3 linked regions of the Macaca fascicularis genome follow. The main gene of each other region encodes a partner of the protein of the gene in region 2 in a complex. Links are inferred from orthologs where the notes say so. Each region holds a gene or a part of one and is shown on either strand. Other genes may lie near its edges. The genes, in order: NMU, NMUR2 and GNAI1.

Region 1 (6,066 bases), on a different chromosome or scaffold from region 2:
CTTACACACTTCTCAAATATCTATTTCTCACCCTACCATAAACATATATCCCAAAGTCACAGTTGTCTGGTAGATCCTACCCGGAGCTCATTGTTTTCAGGAAGGGATAAAGCTGTGCTTCTCAAATTTCCATATAAAACACCTGGTGATCTCACTTAATGAGATTCTGTTTGACAGAGCATTCCTGTTTAAATAATGCTATTTTTTATTCTTATACTTTTGACCATCCCTGGCCCCCAGTAAAAGTGGAAGCTTCCACCTCAACTTCACTGTGTTCAGACACACCGCCTCATCAGGACCATGGAGAGTTTGCTTCCTTCCAATTCCCAAGCTCGCATGGGCCACTTAGAAAGGCCACTATGCCTAACTTAGCCCCAGGCACTTCCATAAAATAGAAAAAGGACATTTTGTGGCCCTTCTAAAAACATGTAAACACAGTTTCATGGTTAAAAAAAAAAGATAAGAAGAGACAAAAATTTTTTTAAAATTCTATGATTTGTAGAAAACGACTAATATCCTGGCCAGGCACAGTGGTTCACGCCTGTAATCCCAACACTTTGGGAGGACGAGACGGGCGGATCATGAGGTCCGAAGATCAAGACCATCCTGGCTAACACGATGAAACCCCATCTCCACTAAAAATACAAGAAAATTAGCCGGGCATGGTGGCAGGCACCTGTAGTTACAGCTATTCGGGAGGCTGAGGCTGGAGAATGGGGTGAACCCAAGAGGCGGAGCTTGCAGTGAGCCCAGATGAGGCCACTGCACTCCAGCCTGGGCGACAGAGCGAGACTCCGTCTCACGAAAAGAAAAAGACTGACGACTAATATCCTATGACTGAACCCAAACGTAAGGGGGAGTTATTCTTTCCTTTGTCTATGTGTTAATTAGAGTCAATGTGATTTTCATTCTGGATATGGACTTCACACTGTCAAAGAGCAATACTGTACTTAGATCACTTTCCGTGTTTTCAGAGACAGTGCCTGTATCATAACTGTACTGTTTTTGATAAGTTTCAGTGAGAAACTTCAAGATATTTATACTTCATTACTATTTAGCAAAGTGAAATCTTCAGTATTATACAGTATACTCTGCTGAAAATAAAAACTTGTACATCCGTAAATACATTATGTATAAGAAAGACAGACCTGATTATTCTAAAAGTAGTGCCAATTTTCTTTTCTCATGGCGAGTATGTACTTCACTGTGGGTTTGGGAAGTGAGAAATCTTTACTGTCAAGTGAACGTTAAGAATTATTCTATGAGCAAGAGGCCTGGGCAGGAAAAGACACTCCTTAACTTAGTCTTGACCATTTGATAACTTATTGTCACAGGCAAAATCAAGTAACAGTTTGTTGCAGATATCCAAAATGTGTTCCTCTTATATAAGTTTCCTTCTTTATTTTACTAGTGTGCTCTGAATAGTAAATTGTTTCCATCCACTGAATCTGTGGCTGACCCTTTATCTTCGCATGACCCTTTATCTTTTTTTATTTTACTAGTGTGTTTATTTTCCTTCTTTATTTTACTAGTGTGCTCTGAATAGTAAATTGTTTCCATCCACTGAATCTGTGGCTGACCCTTTATCTTTTTTTTTCCAAGGATGCTGCATTTAATGACACTTTTATTTTCCTCTAGCATTGCAACATTTGTTGTGTTGTTTTTTGAGGCATCCAGTTGCATCTTGCATGATGATTGACCATGGTAGATAATCTCTGGGTTTTGCTTATGTATGTCACGTCCCCCTCGGTGCCATCTTTAGGGACTCAGGACTCGGACAGATCACATGGCTATTCACCCTCTCCCCATCCTACCACATTTTTAAAGAGATACAATTCACTTTTTAGTATTCATAGCAGGTCTGAAGGGGAATGAAGATGCAAAAGGGCAATCTAGGGGGCTTCTGGGTAGTAAAGGAAGTATCTCATTCTTTTGCTTGAAAAATATTGGGGTTATCTACGAGACGATTGGTATGTCAGCAGATATGCTCTTTTGGAAATAAAAACCAAGACTCATCTCTTTTAGGAACCAGCTGCTGCTTTCTATACTGTTCAATCACCAGCAGTCTGAAATTCTCCAACCCATCCCAAGGCAGTTATCTCTGATGCAAATTTCTCTGCATGCAAAATTCACTGATGCCAAATTCACTGCAAGCATATAGCATGCAAATGCATAGAAATCCATTTTCTTTACATAGCAAAGTCACTTTTCAAACTATGCTTATCTGCATCCTTAAGAAGGCAGATAAAGATTACCATCCAAAGTTACCAATAATATATTTAAAATCCTAAAAGATGAACATTTACCTTGGGAGAAAGTAATGTATCACTACTGGCTATGTGGAGAACGTTTGGGTTTGCTAGCTTCTGACTGCCTGGATTTCAAAGCCAAATTATCTTGCTTTTCAAGTAGGGGAGTCTCTCTCTCTCTCTCTCTCTCTCTCTCTCTCTCTCTCTCACACACACACACACACACACACACACACACACACACACACGCACCCCTCCAATGCCTCAGGAAAGGACAAAATCAAAACAATGAGAGGAGAACAGTAAAAATAAATAGATTAGGAAAAGCATAGCGGTCTCTATTTCCCCATCTCTAATTGAGGGCTGGACTACAGGCTCTGCAGTTGTGATTTTAAGTACCCAACGTTCTGAACAATGACACAACAGTCTGCCACTTTTACCTCACTGACTGGAGAGCAGAGGGAAGCTAAGAGAACCTCCTGCCAAGCTAGAAAATTTATGGATGTAGCCAGGCAGTGGTTGACAATGGAGGGACCCCTGACTTGGGGATGAATAATGGTGCCCATAAGCCACCTGCAAACGTAAGCTGTAACCCTTGGAGAACCCAGAAAATGATCTCTCCATGCAAATCTCTCCAGAACGTTTGCATTCTGCTCGGCTATGTCTCCAAAGCTTCCGATCTCCTTCCCTGACCTTGCGTTTCCTATTTCTTTCCTCTAAGCCAAGCTCAGGAAGTCCCTATTGTTATCAAATCACATCTGCCATCACTTGCTGTAGCTGTCGCACTGCCTGAAAGCCTGGCTTGCACATTTGCCTCTTCAACTTTGTGTGATGAGAAGTTCTCTATTCCTTTTCCTGATCTAGTGCCTGAAAACCGATAAAACACAAAGCCCACTCCTTCCCCCTTCTAAGCGGTTAGCGCGTGGGGCCCGTTGTACCGCTCAGGTTTATGTCAACATAACACGAGCTCACTCACCAAACAGGCTGAGCACTCGCCAAGTTTACCTTGCCTCAGCGGACGAAGTATCAGGCTCACTCTTGTTTTGCTTCGACCATCAATCCCTTCAATAATTGCAATCAAAGGGAAGGCATTTTAACGTTCACTATTTTAATACCCGTTTCCACGGGCCAGCGGGGCTGGAAATCCCGAGGATGAGGGAGCCCTACCAGTCTCCACCTATCGCAGTCGGCCCAGCGCAGGGTCTCCGCTGGGCATCAACGCGCGGGGCCTGGGGATTTCGGCCCCGGCCGGGCCCCTTGCTCCTATGTTGCTAGTTGCTCTAGTGGGGCGATCTGTGCCTGGGAGGCGGGAAATCCCGCGGCACCAGAGAAGCCAAGAGAAGTCCCAGAAACCAAGTGAAGGTGAAAGAAAGGGCGGGAGAGAGTGGTGAGTGGAGCCAGAGAGAGGCGCGCATGGTGTGGCGGCGGCCGGGTGCGGGGCCGTCTTACCTCTGCAGGCGCCCGCGCAGCAGGCGAGCAGCAGCAGCAGCAGGAGCGTGGACGCCGCGGCCCCCTGTCCGGGGGGCGACCTTGGGGGGCAGCTCGCTGTTCGCAGCATCTCGGCGGCTGCGGGAGGCTCGCTGCTAGGGACCCTGCGCTGCGCCACGCCGAGCTGGTGCTCCACCTGGTGCCCTGGCAGTGCCTCCAGCGGCCCTGGAGCGCCGCTCGCGGGGCCCACACACAGAACTGAGCGCCCGACGCGCCGACAACTTTTAAATCTCGCGCACACGTGGGCTGGGCTGCGCAGTCCCCGCCGCACGTCACCTCGCCGCCTGCCACCCCCGGCCTACCCCGCGTCACCCGCCCCACTGCCTGCCCGCGCCCCACCCTGCAGGGGGACCCGAGCCCTCTGGCCTGAGTTTCTGACCCAAGTACTACGCATTTTCGCTCTGGGATAAAGAGAATGGACTTTAAATAATGCACCATTCACACCTTTGGAAGGACTGGAGTGGGAACACAATGGAGATGGCAAACCAGGCCGTCTGAGTTTTTAAACTTGGTAGTGGCGACGCTGTCTGGTTTCCTGGGTCTGCGTGGGACGCGCTTTCTCCTTCACCTCTGCTAGAGCTCCGGCAGCCCCTAGTACGCACCTCTGTGGAAGCGCCTCTGTTTTGTTCCCCGGTTTATCCCCAGGTCCAAGCTCAATGCCTGGTGCATATCAGGGCAGTGCTGGTTCAACGGTGATGTTGATGCTATCTACCCTCCCCCAAATTCCTGCAAAATCACAGACCCCTTAGGGAAATGCAGTTGCCTGTTAATAAAAGATAAAGAAGAAAGGACTGCTGGGGCTTGACCACACACATTTCTAACAGCTCTGGAGCGCTGGTTATCCTACGGATTTCCAAGCCTAAGGAAACTCCTTTTTCTATGCATTTCTGCTGCTATTGCATCCTGATTTCTACCGTGACCTGACTCCCTCTTTCCATCTCTATACTTTCCTTGATTGGAAACGTTCAGGAAGCAGCCTCTTCCAGGACACCAGCTAATACAGTCCTAATTTCCTTCTACAGAAAGAGGGAAACCTCGTCTTTATTATTATTATTTCAAGTTCCGGGGTACATGCGCAGGATGTGCCGGTTTGTCCCATAGCTAAACGTGTTCCATAGTGGTTTGCTGTACCTATCAACCTATCACCTAGGAATTAAGCCCAGAATGCATTAGCTATTTTTCCTGATGCTCCCCCTGTCCCCGCACCCCACCCCCCCCCCATAGGTCCCAGTGTGTGAAAACCGGTCTTATTTGACCTCCCTTTGAAAGGCGAGGAACGCCGAGGAAAGGGCAGGAAGTACATTAACATTTCTGAAGGGGCACTTTTGCGTCAGGCATTTTCTCGTGTTATTTTATTTAATATTCATGGCATCTCTGGGATGTAGAAGTACTGAAATTCTCATTTATGATGCCAAGAGGGATTAAACAATCTGCTCAGGGCTGTCAGCACGTGAGGCAGCCACTGGCTATTCTACTCCACCAAGATACTTCTCCCTAAATACAGAGTTTTAATGTATTAGGCACACACAGCTCAACCTACTGTAAGCAAGACCTGACCTTTGGGGATACAAGATTTAGTGACAGTAGGATCTTTCTCTCCTAAGGAAGTTATAACTTGGTAAAGGACCCTAAACCCTTACTCAAATAGCTGAATTACAAGGCAGATTGGGATAGTGCTCTGTCAGAAATACGAAGAGAGGCAGGAGTAAAACCCTGACAGATTAGGTAAAAAAATAATGGCCACCTTCTTTAAATTCTTTATACACAGGAAGCGTGTAAGAAAGGCTGGATTATAGGGTCTGGTCCAAGTTCAGGGATGGGTGAGAAAATATTTGATTCAAGATTCTTGTACTTTGATTTATTCCCAAAGTAGTAAAAAAAGAAAAAAAAGAGCACAAAGGATGTAAATGACCTACGGATGCAAGCAGGTGAACATGGCTCTGCTTCCCTATGACATTCTTCCTGGTGTCTCCCAGAGGTGCACTGAAAGATCACCAGTCCCAGCAGCCAGTGTGAGCGTGAAATGTCAGCCAGAGCAGAGAAGCCTGAAACAGTGGGCTTAATGTTTTTTATATCCCCAACAAGTCAGCAAAATAAACAACTTGTGTATTAAAGTTTTTTTTTTTTTTTCCTTGCATGAACCAGCCTGCTTAGAACGTTCTTGTACATGCCCCCTAGTGTACACGTGCAAGAGTTTTCTGAGGAATGTTCCCAGGAGTGGAGTCATTAGGTCATAGGGGATGACCTAGCTAATCTCTGTTTTACACTGTTTTCCAAAGTGTTATACCAATTTACATTCCCACCAACCATGAATGACGTTTCCATGGCT
Region 2 (5,967 bases):
ATTAAAAAAAAAAAATCAGTGCAACCCTGTGTTGGCATGGTTGAATTCTGCTGCAATTCATACATCCATCCTCATTAGCTCAATCATGAATGCAGCATGCAGGAGATGTAAGAACGAAATCAGACTGTCACTAGAACTTCCTCCCAGATGTGGAGGAACTTGCCCTAGAATTGTCTATTTTCTATCTATATAATGTTCAAATCCTGGAGAGCAGCTCAGTGGTGGCTGTGTCCTGGAATGATGCAGTGTGACTGAATGCTGAGCTATGAGCACAGATACGGGTTTCCTCCTTCTTCCCTGGTCCTCTGATTTCATTAGTCTTAGACTTGCTGCCTTCTGAAAGCAGTGGGTCCCAGAGTCAATCACACCTTCAAACTTTCCAACAGAGTCAATTACTTAACAATCATTAGGATTGCTTATATCTCTTTGAGATAATATTTACAAGTCTTTGTTTTAAAGGTAGAGAAGCTAAAGCCCAGCAACGAAGGAAGTAATTTAGCCTCATTCATTCACTGAGCTTACAGTCTAGTTGGGGAGAAAAAAATTAATTAAGGAATCCATAAGTATGGAATTGTAAATTGTAATGAAGGAAAATCACTGAGTCGTGAGCACCTACAACAGGAAACAGGAATGCTCAGGAAATCTGGGAGAGCTTCCCTGAGGAAGTGTGATTGAAGTATGACATAAAGAATAAATGAGGGTTAGAAAGGCAAAAGGGTAGTGGTGGCAGACAGTAGGAACATTTCAGGCTACAGGTATATTGTACATAAAGGTCCTCAGGTCAGTGACACAGAATAGGGTCTACTTTTCCTGATTTTCAGTATAGAGATTTTTAAATTCTTCTAGGAGTGACTTTTAAGCAGTTAGTTTCTTTCCTGGTGTCCTCTGGTACCCTGGATAACAGCTCATCCTTCCTGAAAACAGGCTATCAAAAGTTGCATTACATACCCAAAGCAAACCAGGGTGGTTTTTAAACTTCTGTTTGAGCTATCACTTAGCTCTTGATACAAGGTAGCTATGGACTTTTGATAATAAAACACAATGAAACTGATTGTAACAGATTGGAAGAGGAAATGTGCATTTCCTACTCAAAGTTAAATATTTTTCCCAAATTGACCCAAAATAGGTGATTCTTTGGTATTAGATGAGATATTACTAAGTTCTGGGTGGGTGTTTCTCATAGGACTTTCTTTGGAGTTGTATAGAAGTCTTTTCGCTTGAGTGAGAATTGCAGGACATTCTTAAGACATGGCTGTGAGCTAGTGCGGGGTGGTACATGTCTCCGGGAATATAGGTGCTAGCCCTCCAGGAGGGGACTGGCACAGCTATCTGCCTAAGTAGATTTACTCTTGTGCCCAGATGTCTGTGACACTTAGAATTTGTTCTTCCTACTTAGACCTTGCTATTCACCTTAGGGACAATAGGTATTCAAAAAGACTACCATTGGTCACTCGCTTCTGACAATCAGCTTCTCAGAGATGGACTGAAATAGGAGTATATTCGTTGTCATATAACATATGATGTCAGAGCCATCTCAAAGCAAATAATGTGAGTGTGATGTCTGCTTGTCCTCTCATTTAAAACTCACATTGCTTCACCTCACAGGTTGTTTTTTTTTTTTTCTTTTTTAAAAGGAATCATAGACTGTTAGAACTAGAGGGTACATAGATATGATCTGATGTAACCTTTTCATTTTATAAATGGGAAAACTAATTCTAGGAGAATCATGTGGCTTGCCTAAAGGCATTTTATGTGTCTGCTGTAGATCTGGGAGTCTAAATGGTCTCATAACTGTTTACTACACAAGCTATAATACCTCCCTTAAGTGGGTGTAAAATTGTCATTGTCAAAAACTTTTCTCTTCATGAATTTGGGTGCAGAATATACCAGAGAGGAATTACATAGCCTCATTCCTACCCTTATTAAAAACAGTTTCTCTCAGTTAATTTATTACACCCCCTTCTGAAAAAGAAATCAGTTTATCACCATAAACATAGGAAAAGAACCTCTAATTATATATGTTGCAAAATAAGTGATATCTTTTTCTTAATTTCAGATAACTCTTATTCACATTTTTTTTACTCTATCTCATGTGCTGGTTACTTCCTTATCTCTCAGTCTGCACGTGCTCAAAAGAAGCTCAAGTTATCTCAGTCATGTCATTAATATATATGACTATATATATATTATATATAACTATAAATAAATAAATAAATATATATATATAGTTTTATTTTGTTTTGTTTCAACCTCATTTTAATGAAAGGGTCAGAGCAGCCACAGGAAAGGTCTGATTTTAAAACTGAATACCTATCTGGGACTATAAAATAGTCAGGGATAGTTGATAGTTTGTGTTATACTCAGACCAACTTGGTGTAGAGGAAAATCTCAACGCAGGCAGTGGCCGGGGGCTGGAAAGTGATAACAGGATGCGGAGGAGTCTCTCAAGCTGTGGCCACCTCACCCCAGATCGCCTGATGTGCTTTTTTACAATGAGGCTCCACCTCAGACCTACTGAATCCCATTTTCCTGGGGGTGAGGTATCCATATTGCTACCCAAAGTAAGTTTTCTGGATGGTTCTTAGGAACATTTAGATATGAGAACCCATATCTTATTTAGATATGAGAAGACGAGCTGAAGGAAATGATAAATAGTGGTGGTTACCATTCATCTCATTTGAGGCAATTTCTTTAATGCCTTGATTTCCCATCTGAGCTCATTCTATTTTCCCTCTGTTCCCTTCCATTTCTGAATTTCCCCAATTCTAAGTTTTTCTCTGAACTTTGAGCCTGTGAAAACAGAAGGGATGCTGCCTTAAGCCAGCTAGCCTAGATACTCACTCTGAGTGCCATGAGGTAGTAGAGGACACTGATGACAGTCATGGGGAGGAAGTAGAATAGGAAGGAGGTGACCTGGATGATGAAATTGTAGATCCACATGGGCTTGATGACCGTACAGGTGGCCGAACCTGGGACCAGGGACCCATTGGGGAAGTAGTGGAACTTGATGCCGTGGATGCTGGTGTTGGGCAGGGAGAAGAGCACGGAGAAGCCCCAGACGACGCCGAGGATCCTGAGAGCCCGGCGCCGGGTGCTCTCCAACTTGGCGCGGAACGGGTGTAGGATGGCCACGTAGCGCTCCACGCTGATGGCGGTGATGCTGAGGATGGAGGCGAAGCACACGGTTTCAAAGAGGGCCGTCTTGAAGTAGCATCCCACAGGCCCGAACAAGAAGGGGTAGTTGCGCCACATCTCATAGACCTCCAGGGGCATTCCAAGGAGCAGGACCAGGAGGTCAGAGACCGCCAGGCTGAAGAGGTAGTAGTTGGTGGGCGTCTTCATAGCCTGGTGCTGCACAATCACCAGGCACACCAGGACATTGCCAATGACCCCCACCACAAAAATTGGCACATACACCACAGACACGGGGAGGAAGAAGTGGCTGCGCCGAGGTCCGCAGAGGAAGGCCAGATACTCCTCGGTGCTGTTCAGGTGTTTCTGGAATGGATCTTCCAGTTTCTGCTGGTAGATCCAGGAAGCATTCTGAAGTTTTTCCATCCCTGACATTAAAATCCAAGGCCTGAGCCTCCCCTGGTACGAGGCTGTTTCAAGCTGAGCCAGGAAAAAAAAAAAAAGAGAGAGAGAGAGAGAAAGCAGTCAGGAAAATCACAGGCTTAGTGAGGAAGGCTGGGAGAGAGTGAATGTTTCAGCCTCAAAGGTAGGCTGCCTGGACCGCCGATCCCTTTTGAAGAGTCCCAAAGACACAAGCCCCTCCCCTTCACAGGCTGAGGGCCAATGAGAGTGTGTCAGGCTGCACCGGAAGAGAGGAGTGCTGGCTTTGTGTCAGGGAACAGGGGAGGAGGCGGAGACCTCTCTCTGAGTGGGAAGGAGCTGGGAAGGCAGAGCTGACACAGAAGAAACCACTCTGACTTCATGGATGGGCATTTTGAGCAATGCATGTTGCAAAGTTGTGAGAATCTGGGCGGACATAGAAATCAAAGTCGTAGGGTCGTGGGCAAAAGATTACCAGTCTCCACCAATCCTTGTCAGCCGTACAGCAGGATGAACACAGGAAATCAATAGATTTCTCAAGTTATCTTGTTCCACTGGAAATTCAGGGTTCTCTGGGGATTAATGTGATAACATGATTAACGAGAGTTTTTGGTTTTGACTGCATCCAAAACCAAAGCCTGAAAGGGCACGTGCACAGTGCCTAGCTCTGACTGCTACCTGACACTTCAGTCTCTTAGCAGAGCTTTGCTGTAAGCAAAAGGCAAACGGACTTCAGAATTAGGAGCACTCATAGAAATTTAGGAAAGTTGGACAGTTACCCAAACTCTTAAAGGCTCATTTCCTTATCTGCATCATTGATTCGATTGTGTTCCACAAATAACTTCTTGAGGATTCACTATTTGCCAGGGAATATTCTAAGCTTTGTAGAAACATCAGTGTACAAGCAAGACAAGGTCTCTGCCCTAGTGGAGCTTTTCTTACAGTAGGGAATTCTGAAAACACACAAGTAAATGAATAAATTAATATAATTTCAGATAGTAATTGATAAATCATTATTTATCAAGGATGGTGAAAGAAAACTTATCTCAGATGTCGCTTTAGCTGAGTCAGTCATGAAAGAGCTAAGGGAAGTGTATTACTCAGCAAAAGCAATTGCAAGTGCAAAGGTCCTGAGGCAGAAACAAGCTTGATATGTTTTAAAAATATCAGGAAGACCAGAATAACTGGAATTTAATAAGTGGTCAGCAAAGTATGAATGATTAGATTGGAGTGGCTGGCAGGTGCAAGTTCATGTAAACTCTTATAGGCCGTGGAAGAGAGTTTGCCTCTGATTCAAACTGCAGGGAGAAGTCTTTAAAATATTTTGCACTGGAGAATTAATGAGGGAGAAATTTTAACAGAAGGTAGGTAAGAGGCTAGTCCTAAGACATAGTAGTGGCTTGGATTCTTTGAGTAGTGGAGTTGAGAGATTTCTTTGGATTTAGGAATATTTTTGCAGGGGACAATACCTTTTATAGTCATTGAGAAGACTAAATTAAATTATATATAACGAAGCAACTTATACTTTAGAGATATTCGCTAAATGTTAATTTTTTCCCTTTTATTTGTTAAATCAAATGATGACATTAAAAATTAGAGAGGAAAAGTGACTTGTTGAAGAATAAGCTGTCCTTCAAGTTAAGATAGTTTATGCTTCTGTAACGAATGATTGACATATCTTGGTTTAAATAATAAAGATTTATTTCTCTTGCACTTCAAATGTATTGAGGGTCTGTCTCATGCTATACTCACTCATAAACCCAGGCTGATGCAGTGGTCACGCTCTGGAATTTTGATTATCATTGTGATAGAGGAAAAGAGAGCTCTAGATGGTCTTAAGTAGGTAATTATAGGCTCTAGCCCAAAAGTAAGTAACTCATTGCCACTTTTACTCACAGCTCATTGACCAAAGTTAATCATATGTACCCATTCAACCACAGCAGGGTCAGGAAGTGCTGTCTTAGCATGTGCACAGAAGATGGAAAACTAGGAAAAATTGGTGAATAACATTAATAGTAATTATAGACATGTAATAGGTATTGCAGAGCCAGAATTAGAGCCCTCTAGTTAAAGGCAAGTTTTGATGTTAAAATCACTATTAACACACTTTAACATATTTTTCTAATGAAATAGGAAAAGTTTAATGAAAATGTCTCATTTAGATATAAGGATCATTAAATTTATAAGGGTGCACAGTGGCAGACTATAAACTTAGCACTGAGGAAAATGGAAAATACTTCTTTCTGTTTTTTAACAAAAATATTTTTCCATAAGTTATTGGGGTACAGGTGGTATTTGGTTATAGGAGTAAGTTCTTTAGTAGAGATTTGTGAGAACCTGGTGCACCCATCACCAGAGCAGTATACACTGCACCATATTTGTTGTCTTTTATCCCTCACCCACCTCCCACTCTTC
Region 3 (4,015 bases), on a different chromosome or scaffold from region 2:
GCTTGTATCATCAGTTCAGCCTCACCTTGGAAAACTCAAGCCCAGTTTTCTCAAATGATTTTTAGATAATAAGATTTCCAGATGAAAACCAGGGAGCATTTCCCAATTTTTAATACATCAAGGAAGATGTTTTTCCTTGCTACCAGTCCCATTTTCTAATCAGTTAACGCTTCCTGTGATATCTGTAGGGGAAAGGTGTAGTGCAATTGACAGGGAGAGATGAGATCTTAAGCCTCTGCTCATTCATTGGGTGCTGAGTAGTAATGCCTCCTGCAGGCCACAGGAACTTATCTCGGGCGGATCAGTTACAGCTGGAAGGATGGGGCCATAGCCCCATAAATGCACTCCTCATTTTATGGGGAAAGAAGCTAAGGCCTGTAAAAACGACATGCCCAGTGGTACAGGAGTTACAAACACGGTAATAAATATTGGCTCAAAATTTGGCATGGAAGCTTATGTGCTGCTCTAGAGGAGATCTGCTATGATGTGGAGATTGGCTTGTTGTGGGTGTGTTTTATTGCTCTTATCATTTAAAAGTACTTTTTGATTATTTGTCTCCCATTTTTTTAGGTTACAAGGAAATCCTTCAAAATGAGTTCTTGTGAAAAACCTGAGAATGGAAGGAAGGAGGGAGGGATAGGAAGAAGGAAAGAGAAGCAAAAGGTAGGAAGAAAGTTGACCTTGTTGCCCTTTCCTAGTCTCCTCCCCCGACTTTCCTGTTCTCCACTGTGCCCATCTCTGGTTTCACCAGGCTCCATTCCTTCCCCAGCTCCCTGTTTCCCACGGCCCTGAAAGCCAGCCGACAGGGATTTGCATTTTGAAAAGCCTTGTGTGGCTGCCGGCGCTGGGCATGCTCAAACGCCCAGAACTGGCTTTTTTCGGCAACTTTGGCAGCTCTCCCACCCCTACCCGAAAGGGCAGGTACGCACAGCTCCGTCGGTGTGAGTAAACGGAAAGAAATTACCCCACTCCCGCCCAGGGCAGAAGGCCACAGGCCCGCGGGTCAGTGTTGTGCTCCGGGGACGCTGCCAGGGGGCGCCGGGCCCTCGGGGGTGTCGCGGCGCCGCGGTAGGGAGCCGGGGGGCGCGCGCGCCCCTCCGAGTGGGCGCTGTCCAAGGGCACGTGCGCGGGCGCGCGCTCTGGGAGTGGTCGCGGGGTGGCGGGAGGGGCGGGGCCGCGGCGGCGCGCGGAGGCCGAGCTCGGCTGGGCTTGGCAAGGCTGCGGCGCGGCCACCGGCGGGAGGGCAGCAGCCACTGTACCCAGAGCTTCAAAACCCCAAACCGGAGACTTGGGGGCGCTGAGCCGCACCGGGAAGCAGAGCCTGGCCGTGAGGAACAGCCGCGCGTTGCTGTCTGCCCCTCTGCGGACGGCGTCTCTCTCGACTCCGCTTAGGAAGTGGTGGGGGTGGCGTGGCCCCCGTCGGGAGGCGTTCGAACGCCCGCTCAGAGAGAGAAAGGATTCCCCTGTGCTTGGAGCCCGCACTCGGGCGCGGAGGGAGCGGCGGCAGGCTCTCGCTCTCGGCAACATGGGCTGCACGCTGAGCGCCGAGGACAAGGCGGCGGTGGAGCGGAGTAAGATGATCGACCGCAACCTCCGCGAGGACGGCGAGAAGGCGGCGCGCGAGGTCAAGCTGCTGCTGCTTGGTAAGGGCGGCCGGGTCGGGGACCCCGGGTTGGCGGGGGACCGGGCGCGGCGCTCCGCGGTGACCGCTGCGCGGCCCTCGGCATTTGGAAACCCGGAGGGAAGGGGAGGAAGCGCCCGAGGAGGCTTCCGAGCGGGAGCTAGGTCAGGCGGTGCGCAGCCGAGGCGGGTCCTCCTCTCCGGGTGCCCGGCCTCCCTCCGCCCCGGCGGGCGAGGACTCCCCGTGGTGGGGCGGGCGCGTCACTTCTCTCGGATGCCTTCGGCGACCCAGCAAAGAGCCCAGGCGCGAGTCCGAGGCGGCGGGTCCTGTGGAAACCCTTTGCTTTGAAGTTTAGCTCAGCCTTACAAAGACGAAGGGGCATTCGTGGCTAGAAAATAACCACCCCCCCACGCCGTCCCCAGCCCCCTCCCGGAAAACCCTTCTTCGTGTGAGGTGTGGGTTGTGTTTCGACTGTGGTTTTCTCATGCCCAGAGTGCCACGTTTGGTGAAATCAGTGCACCTTTTGTGGGGTCTCTGAGATGGGGCTGAAATGTCTTTCCTGTTAACTTCCTATGGCGACTCCTTAAGTGGTCAAGGAGCATCGATTACATTCCGCCTGCGCTGGGGAAAGGCTGCGCTGGATGCTTGATTTTTCTTGCTGTAGGGGCATGGAAGCCACCCAAGTGGGGTTGGGAAGCTTTGCTTTAGTAGTAGGCAAGACTCGAGTGGTGAAAACTGCTGTGAAAGGAGCGAGAGGGTCACGCCAGACAACACGGTTCTCCCTCCGCTGCCACCGTTTCTGATGAATGAGATTTGCCAGGTACACGCAAGGCTTTTATTTGTTCTTCGCACTGTTCTGTTCGTGAAACGCTACGTGGAGGTCTTTTCCAAATGTTTGACAGGGAAGAAAATAAAAAAGAGTAAACCAGGGTTTTCATTGAGGGAAGCAGTAGGAAAATAGTCACAGGTTAAGATTTGTGAGTTAGGGTTTTCTTTTGTTTGCATGTTTTCTTCTCACACTCTAGGTATTTAGATGAAAAATTTCTCAGAATCTTCATTTGCATTTCCAAGGACTGCTTTTATTTTTATACCAGTTATAATAAAAAAGAAATGTTGCACAAACCTGTTTTCAGTAAGCTTCTGTTTCATTGGTTTAATGACTGCAGAAAAAATGGTGGTTTTTTTTTCTACATTACTAGTAGGCTTGGGAGCAGCAAAGTTGGCATGACTAAAAGTAATAATGATCTGAGTCATTTTGCAAGTAAACTGTGAAATAACTTTGCATTTTAAAGACCTGCGTGGCTTTTTTCACCCTCTCGCCCCCAACATAAGTCTTTCTCAGTTAATGCTGTTGCCTAAGTTTTTACATTATTAAGAAATACTGTGTTTTGAGGAGGTTAGTGTATCTGCTTCTCTTGTGAATTGAATGTGAGATAGATATGAAATAAAAGGATTAAAAAGTTTTTTTCTTGCAGTTTTTGCTCTCCTGGTGTGATATGTTGTTTCAGTGTATTTTTGTGTGACTCTTAGTTTGAGCCAGCCATCCACCATGTTTAAAGCAATTGAGAAATGAATCATCTGGTCGTGGTGTTTTGTCCTTTAATTAGGTGACTGTTAGGGATGGACTAGAATAAAGGTCCCAGGAGGAGGCTTTTGCTTGTGTTCAGAAGAGATCAGTGTGTCTTAACCTTAGCACGGTTGGCATTTGGGGCCGGGAAATTCTTTGTTGTGCAGGTTGTTTTTGTGCATTGTAGGATGTTCAGCAGCATCTTTGGCCTCCACTCATTAGATGGTAGTAGCAGTCCCCCAACCTATGAGCTCCAAAAGCGTTTCCACATATTGCTAGAAGTCCTCTGGGGGCAATATACAGCCTTAGTTAAGGACCACTGTTCTAGATTAACACTTAAATATAATTGAATGTATAATATAGAATCAGAAGGTGAATCTTTACAGTCATAGTGAGTTTGGAGAGAGATGTAGCAGAGGCCTTATTTTCAGAAGAAATTATGGAATTCTTATTTCTGTTTTGTTTTTGTTTGTTTTTTTGAGACGGAGTCTTGCTCTGTCGCCCAGGCTGGAGTGCAGTGGCCCGATCTCGGCTCACAGCAACCTTCGCCTCCTGGTTCGAGCCATTCTCCTGCCTCAGCCTCCGGAGTAGCTGGAACTACGGGTGCGTGCCACCATGCCTGGCTAATTTTGTGTTTTTAGTAGAGACCGGGTTTCCCCATGTTGGCCAGGCTTGTCTCGAACTCCTGACCTCAGGTGATCCGCCCGCCTCGGCCTCCCAAAGTCCTGGGATTACAGGCGTGAGCCACCTCGCCTGACCAGAATTCTTATTTCGTTAAACCAGTACTAGCACCATTAGAAATACTTCAGAATGATTTTTAGCAATCT

What was found.
Region 1: the proteins of NMUR2 (region 2) and NMU are in contact, whole or in part, in a cryo-EM structure (PDB 7XK8), measured with the Homo sapiens proteins. The link is inferred for Macaca fascicularis from reciprocal best matches to the Homo sapiens genes NMUR2 and NMU. Residues at the interface, in NP_064552.3 of Homo sapiens: Ser42, His43, Gly98, Glu102, Glu105, Met106, Trp107, Arg108, Asn109, Tyr110, Pro111, Thr123, Phe126, Glu127, Asn181, His185, Pro199, Ser201, Thr203, Cys204, Val206, Tyr213, Phe284, Arg288, Phe291, Glu295, Trp297, Ser298, Glu299, Ala302; in NP_006672.1 of Homo sapiens: Glu146, Phe152, Ala153, Ser154, Gln155, Gly158, Tyr159, Phe160, Leu161, Phe162, Arg163, Pro164, Arg165, Asn166.
Region 3: the proteins of NMUR2 (region 2) and GNAI1 are in contact, whole or in part, in a cryo-EM structure (PDB 7XK8), measured with the Homo sapiens proteins. The link is inferred for Macaca fascicularis from reciprocal best matches to the Homo sapiens genes NMUR2 and GNAI1. Residues at the interface, in NP_064552.3 of Homo sapiens: Thr78, Thr80, Glu143, Arg144, Ala147, Ile148, Pro151, Phe152, Ala154, Leu156, Met239, Leu243, Gln259, Cys262, Arg263, Val266, Leu330, Ser331, Arg333; in NP_002060.4 of Homo sapiens: Glu28, Ala31, Arg32, Leu194, Ile343, Ile344, Lys345, Asn347, Leu348, Lys349, Asp350, Cys351, Gly352, Leu353, Phe354.

What each region holds. Positions count from the first base shown.
Region 1 is NC_088379.1:78,261,493-78,267,558, reverse strand, and holds the start of NMU (neuromedin-U), read right to left. Parts: upstream 3,938-6,066; 5' UTR 3,808-3,937; coding exon 3,699-3,807; intron 3,608-3,698; exon of another isoform or gene 3,226-3,607; intron 1-3,225.
Region 2 is NC_088380.1:159,246,604-159,252,570, forward strand, and holds the start of NMUR2 (neuromedin-U receptor 2), read right to left. Parts: upstream 3,721-5,967; 5' UTR 3,568-3,720; coding exon 2,842-3,567; intron 1-2,841. UniProt on the Homo sapiens protein: Receptor for the neuromedin-U and neuromedin-S neuropeptides.
Region 3 is NC_088377.1:141,289,691-141,293,705, reverse strand, and holds the start of GNAI1 (guanine nucleotide-binding protein G(i) subunit alpha-1), read left to right. Parts: upstream 1-1,215; 5' UTR 1,216-1,525; coding exon 1,526-1,643; intron 1,644-2,090; exon of another isoform or gene 2,091-2,441; intron 2,442-4,015. UniProt on the Homo sapiens protein: Guanine nucleotide-binding proteins (G proteins) function as transducers downstream of G protein-coupled receptors (GPCRs) in numerous signaling cascades.